2 linked regions of the Sus scrofa genome follow. The protein of the gene in region 1 interacts with the protein of each later gene in a pairwise test. Links are inferred from orthologs where the notes say so. Each region holds a gene or a part of one and is shown in the gene's direction. Other genes may lie near its edges. The genes, in order: DNPEP and MPP1.

Region 1 (3,210 bases):
ATTCCCCTTCCCATTCTTGTATTCCTTTCATGTGTATTAGCTGTCCATATTCTTCTGTGAAGTGGAACTTTCCCCCATCAAGTGGGGCTATCTGGTTATTGTGAATTATGGTTCTTATGGGAATAACAGGACAAGTTAGAGTCTTTCCCTTTAGTAACCTTATTTTTTTTTTTTTCTTGCTTTTTAGGCTGCACCTGTGGCACATGAAAGTTCCCAGGTTGGGGGCTGAATCGAAGCTGCTGCTGCCAAGCTGCCAGCCTGTGCCGCAGCCACAGCAATGTGGAATATAAGCCATGTCTGTGACCTACACCAGTTCATGGCAGCACTGGATCCTTAACCTACTAGCAAGGCCAGGGATCGAACCTTCATCCTCATGGATACTAGTTGAATTTGTAACCTGCTGAGCCACAAAGGGAACTCCAATAACCAGTTTTTAAGATGAGGTGTTTTAATGGCTGTCTCAAACACTGACAGATAGGAGGGTTTTTCTTTTCCTTTTCTGATGATCATTATATAGAATCATAGATTTTCTTTTTCTTTTTGGTGGGGGTGGGTGGGGGCATGTCCCGGCAAGTGGAATTTCCCAGACCAGGGATCAAACCTGAGCCACAGCAGCAACCCCAGCTGCTACAGTGACCGTGCCAGATCCTTAACTTGCTGCACCACAGGGGAACTCCAGAATCATAGATTTTCATTGGTTCAGTTTTCATGAGTTCAGTGTGGATCTGGTCCACTGTAATCCTTTCCTCTCCTCAAATTGTCATGACTTTGGCTAGTGGGAGCCCTTTCCACTTAAGTCATGTGTCCTTTGCCATAACTCCGGAAGGTCGTCTTGCTTTTCGGCACAGCCAGAAATTGCAGGCTCGTCTTATTCATTTCTCCTCCCCGACTTGGTAGCTTTTGGTGGATGATGATGTTAGAGACGATGGTCTGGCACCGCGAATGTTCCTTGTTACTGGCAGGGAACACACGTGGGGTCATTTCTATGCATGTGGCTAACAAGAAATAGATGTATTTTAAGCGTCATGAGTTAATACTGTGAGTTTCACTTTTTTAAAAAAGAGCAGTTGTTACTTAGTTCATCTGGTTTTGTAATTCTCTCTTCCCTTACGCAGAAAATCTTGATGTCTGATACCATATTTGGATTTTATTTATTTTTTAACTTTTAGATGAAGAAATCGTTTTTGAGCGGGTGCATTTACAGAACAAGATGACATAAAGAATTAAACCCCTCTGTCCATTCTAGGGGGAAGGAGTTATTTGTGGGAGACATGATGATGGTAGCTGGGACTAGGGTCTTAGAGTGGTAGTAGTTCAGATGGAGAGAATGGGACCAATTCAGAATATACTGCCATTTAGTGTGGACGCTGATTTTATGCGTGTCCCATCCACTCTTCAAGGAGGTTGAAGTGAACAGTCTACCCGGCCCCTTTCAGCCCTGCAGTTATTTTTTATTGATGTACGTATTTATGTCTTTTCAGGGCTGCACTCAAGGCATATGGAGGTTCCCAGGCTAGGGGTCAAATCGGAGCTGCAGCTGCTGACCTGTACCACAGCCACAGCAACGTGGGGTCCCAGCCATGTCTGCAGCCTACACCACAGCTCACAGCAATGCTGGATCCTTAACCCACTGAGCGAGGCCAGGGATTGGACCCACGTCCTCATGGATGCTAGTCGGGTTTGTTAACCACTGAGCAATGGGAACTCCAACCCTGCCATTCTAAGATGACTTCTACCTCGGCCTTAATGAACATACACTTCAAAAAAAAAGACTTCTCTTATGGCGCAGCAGCAGACTAAGGATTTGGCATTTTCACTGTAGCAGCTTGGGTTGCTGCTGCTGTGTGGGTTCAGTCCCTGGCCCGGGAACTTCCATATGCCACAGGCACAGCCAAATAAACCCTTTCACTCATGTTGCTCATGAACCTTTGCTCCTCTCCCCAGGATCTCATGGTCCGGAATGACTCCCCCTGCGGGACCACCATTGGACCTATCTTGGCTTCTCGGCTAGGGCTGCGGGTGCTGGATTTAGGCAGCCCCCAGCTGGCCATGCACTCCATCCGGGAGACAGCCTGCACTTCTGGAGTGCTCCAGACCCTCACTCTCTTCAAGGTGACTCCCCGCCCCCCCATCACCATGGCAGCTGGGCTCCTTCCCCATCTAGTGCCTGGATTGGCTGCTGGGGCAACATCACCATCACTAAGCAGCTGGCCTACGGGATGGGGCTGGTTGTCTTGGTTCTACCATGTAGGAAAAAGAGGGTCCCTATTTTCCTCAAGGCTTAGGAGCCCTGCTCAGCCCCCAGAGGATGTTGAGGGGACAGAGAAGGGATGAGGCATGGGAAGATGGGGCACTTGTCCTGTGTGGGTGAAGCAGTCATGCCTTCCTCTCTTGCTGGGGCCTATGTTGGTATGAGTGGTGCGACGCCCCCAGCTGGTCTCCACTAATTCCAGAGGCCGTGTTCCCTTCTATTTTAGGGCTTCTTTGAGCTGTTCCCTTCTCTGAGCCGGAACCTCCTAGTGGATTGAGGCCTCTCGGAAAGACTTCTCTCGCACTTGAGGTGGGAAGTTCTCAGCTGAGCTGAAGCTGGATTATTAAAGTGGATTTTTCACTGAGACTCATTCTCTTGTGCTTATTTGGAGATTGGAGGGGTGGGGGTTCAGCCTGGCTTAACCCTCTGGAACCAGAACAGATGGGGAGTTGGGTCCCTGTCCAGGTGAAGGAGGCCGCAGCTCCTGGTCACTGGTGGAGGTCTGATTCTATTTATTTTATTTCATTTATTTTATTTTAATTTAATTTTATTCTTTTTAGGGCCACACCTGTGGCATATGGAAGTTGTGGGCTAGGAGTTGAAGAGCTGAAAAAAACCATGGTGGTTTTTTTCTAAGTAGTCGCCAGCCTACACCACAGCCACAGCAATGCCAGATCCAAGCTGCATCTGTGACCTACACTGCACCTTGCAGCAACACGGAATCCTTAACCTACAGATCATGTCCAGGGATTGAACCTGCATTTGTTAGGTTCTTAAGCCACTTAGCTGCAATGGAAACTCCAATGGATTTTTCTTTTTTTAATTAAAAAAAATTTTTTTTAATTACTTTTATTTTTAGAGCTGCATCCCCAGCAGATGGAGGTTCCCAGCTAGGGGTCCGATTGGAGCTACAGCTGCCAGCCTACACCACAGCCACCACAACTCCAGGACCCAAGCCA
Region 2 (3,817 bases), on another chromosome or scaffold:
TGCTCTCCCATCCTCTTTGCTGCTCCCTGAACGATGCACCTTCACGCGTGGGCCCCGAGACTCCTTCCACAGCCCTGTTTGTTTGGTGCAGCCCGTGGCATGTGCAAGTTCCGGGGTAACCGGAGCCTCCCTAGGGACAGGGCCAGACCCTTAACCCGCCGCACCACCACGGGAGCTCCTAGACCTTCTGTGCGGCCCTGAAAAACACGATGAGGAAGACCCAGGGAAGGGGGCTGCCCCATCCAGACCCCTCGTGGTCTCAGGCCTGGGATCAGGGTGCCTGGGCCTCAGGCTGAACGTGTGTTTCACCTCACGTGCGACATCACTCGCCTGCTTCCCGCTGGCAGCACTTTTTCCGGAGCCAATGGGCTCCTCGGGGGTCTTGATGGAGACGCTTCCGAGCTTGCGTCCGCCTCCTCGTGGCCCGGCATTCTGCTCCTGGAGCCGAGGGAGTTCTCTGTGCGTCCGGCCTCATTGTCTTTTCGGGAGAACTTTTCGTCCTTGGTCGTTGGTTTTCTGGCCCCGCCCACGGCATGTGCAGAACTTCCTGGGACTTTGTCGTTGGGATGAAATAATCCTTGCTTGCAGGCTGGTGCCTCGTCCACGAAATCGCTGCCTCTCTCAGGGCGGGTTCTCGATGCTCACACGTTCCAAAGCGGATGGGGGGGTTCACGGGTTCCGTTTCGTTGGCCGCCTTCTCCCAGGTGACGCAGCTGGTCCATGCTCGCTTCTCAGCCCTTGGTCCTTTGACCTGTCACGTTGGGAGCCGGGTTTGGAATATAAAACGACACTCTTTTGCCAGGGATCGCAGGCCCCGGCACTCTGTCCTCTGCCTCAGCGCCTTCAGGCTGCTAGTGAAGGCGTCCTTCTAGCTTTGCCGTTGTCATGATCAGGTGGCCTTGGGGTTTCCAAAGCGCCGCTTACTTCGTCGTTTGCCCTGACAGGCCCTGTCGCAGCAGGCCAGCGCCGTGGCCGAGGACATGTACACCAACGGCTCCGCCGCCCCAGGCAGCCCCGCGCAGGCCAAGGGGCAGGAGGTGCGGAAGGTGCGGCTCATCCAGTTTGAGAAGGTCACCGAGGAGCCCATGGTAAAGGCTGCCTGTCCCCGCCGGCCCGGCAGCGCCAACGCCCGCTCGAGTTGGGCCCCCCCCGGGGGTAGGAGGGGAATCTGTGCCCCAAGAAATCACCTGCGACAAAGCTCACGGTGCCCTCGTCTCTGTTTCAGGGCATCACGCTGAAGCTGAATGAGAAGCAGTCCTGCACGGTGGCCAGGATTCTCCACGGCGGCATGGTTCACAGACAAGGTGGCCTGGGCTGGGGGTCGTAGGTCACATGTCCCTTGGGGGTTGAGGGACATAGAGCTTAGAATCTTCCAGACCGGGAACATCTTTGTGTTTGTGCCAAGAGATGTTTTGGTGGCGTAAGAGCGGGCTCTTTAGCATAATTTTATGACAAGCTCTTCCTCTGACTTGCCCAGAGCCAGCGTCTCTCCCTCTGAGCATCCTGTACACGTGGTCACGGCAGTATTTTTCCACGTGGTTAACACTCGAGCCATTACTTTATGCAGCCCCTGCGTTCAACTTTGACTACATGACAATGAGGAAAACAGGCCATGTCTACCTCCTGGGGCCAGGAGTGAAACTGAGAAAATAGTAAAGAAGTAACTGACACTGACCGTTGTACCTCTTATTTTTTTGTCTTTTTGTCTTTTTAGGGCCGCACACGCGGCATATGGAGGTTCCCGGGCCAGGGGTGGAATTGGAGCCATAGCCACCAGCCTATGTCACAGCCACAGCAACGCGGGATCTGAGCCGCGTCTGCGACCTGCACCACAGCTCACGGCAACACCGGATCCTTCACCCACTGATGGAGGCCAGGGATCGAACCCGCAACCTCATGGTTCCTAGTCGGATGCGTTAACCATTGCGCCACGACGGGAACTCCCTGTTGTACTCTTTAATGTGAAGCTGCCATCAGCCATCAGATGCATGGTTTGGGACCCGCGCGTTGTTCTTTTGTCTAGGGTAGCACACGTGTTGACAGCCACTCTTCCGTGGCCCCTAGGCAGGAACTTCGGCAGTCGGTAGCATTCGGAGCTCTTGGATGAACAGCAGAGAAACATCGACCTTGCTAGTGTCTCTGCAGCCGGGCCACAGCCTCTGGACATCAGTAGGGCCTCTGGTGCAGGGAACTGAGGCCAAAGTGCTTTTATTCTGCTGTTGGGGTCCTGAGGCCAGGGAGGCTGGGTGTCACGTGGTGGTTGGATACCATGCTCCGAGCATCGCCGCCGCTTTTCTGTGCCGACTGCTACTTGAGCTTCTCTTCTTCTGCAACAGGTTCCCTCCACGTCGGGGATGAGATCCTAGAAATCAATGGCACCAATGTGACAGATCACTCGGTGGATCAGCTGCAGAAGGCGATGGTGCGTATCTTGACCTCACGAAGGGGCAGTCGACCTCATTTTTCTGTCAGTGTTTATACCTCGTTGCAGGGACTCTTACCACTGCTAATCTTGACCGTGTGCGAGAAGTGACAGCTCTCTGCTTTCATTCAGTAAACGTCTAAAGCGAGGCAAACAACCCAGAGTGTCTATCCGGAAAGAACATTGGGAGCTCCCGTCGTGGCTCAGCAGTGACCAACCTGACTGGCATCCATGAGGACGCAGGTTCAATACCCAGCCTCGCTCAGGGGGTTAAAGGATCCAGCATTGCCATGAGCTGTGGCGTAGGCCGGCAGCTGCAGCTCCGATTAGACCCCTAGCCTGGGAACCTCCATATGCCGTGGGTGCAGACCTAAAAAGGCAAAAAAAAAAAAAAAAAAATTGGGCGGGGTGTCACAACACCTCAGTCTTTAATGGCAGGTCAGTTAGCTTCTCTAAGTCATCTGTAAAATGAGGTTGGTAGTAATTGCCTTTTTTTTTTTTTTTTTTTTTTTTTGGCTTCTTAGGGGCTGCCTTTGTGGCATATGGAAGTTCTCAGGCTAGGCATCGAATCAGAGTGACAGCCACTGGCCTGCACCACAGCCACACCAGATCTGAACCACATATGCACCCTACACCACAGCTATGGCAACACCAGATCTTTAATTAAGCCACCGAGCAAGGCCAGGGATGGAACCTGCATCCTCATGGATCCTCGTCAGGTTCATAACCTGCTGAGCCACACCGGGAACTCCCAGTAGTTGCTCTTATGTAATCGATTGGTTATGAACAGTGAACGGGATATAATAGCTGAAAGTCGAATGTGCTTTTTCGATTCAGTTGATGATATTTGTCAGGCAGCGCCTATGAGCCCGGATCGTGCTTGGTGTCTGCCCCCAAATTGGACATGAATCTGATCCAACCGTTTTCTCGGTTCAGCTGATGATTTCTAGGACCTGTAGAGGGACAAGCATGTCCCTACCCCGTGCTGAAGTCTAGGGCCAACCGCCCAGTCCCTTCCACGCAACAAAAGACTAGAAAAGGAGGCAGCGTGGGGGGTACGGGCAGAGGAAGCGGCTTGCGAGGCCCGTCAGCCAGGCACACGGTGCGGCGCTTTGTTTGGATCCTGATGCAAAGACGGTGCCGAACTGCAGGCCCGAGACCCACGCGGTGGTCAGAGTTTCAGCCATGTCCTTGACCTTCTCCTTTGTAAACAGCCCCGCCAGTCACCTGTCCTCCCCACCCTCTGGAGCGGCCACAAACCCTGATTATAGATGTTCGTTCTGAGCCGATCCCTTCGTCCTGTGTAGACAATGTTTCAAATGTGTGAACATTCGCACTGTGTGCTTCTTTTTGATTTACGCAAATACAATCAACTGCCTGAAAGTTAATATGTGT

Evidence for each region.
Region 2: the proteins of DNPEP (region 1) and MPP1 interact in binary tests that used the Homo sapiens proteins (3 or more experiments, as listed by UniProt). The two-hybrid records come from large-scale screens. The link is inferred for Sus scrofa from reciprocal best matches to the Homo sapiens genes DNPEP and MPP1.

What each region holds. Positions count from the first base shown.
Region 1 is NC_010457.5:121,391,153-121,394,362, reverse strand, and holds the end of DNPEP (aspartyl aminopeptidase), read left to right. Parts: intron 1-1,944; coding exon 1,945-2,112; intron 2,113-2,477; coding exon 2,478-2,528; 3' UTR 2,529-2,617; downstream 2,618-3,210.
Region 2 is NC_010461.5:125,238,182-125,241,998, reverse strand, and holds part of MPP1 (55 kDa erythrocyte membrane protein), read left to right. Parts: intron 1-944; coding exon 945-1,088; intron 1,089-1,225; coding exon 1,226-1,304; intron 1,305-2,336; coding exon 2,337-2,422; intron 2,423-3,817. UniProt on the Homo sapiens protein: Essential regulator of neutrophil polarity. Regulates neutrophil polarization by regulating AKT1 phosphorylation through a mechanism that is independent of PIK3CG activity.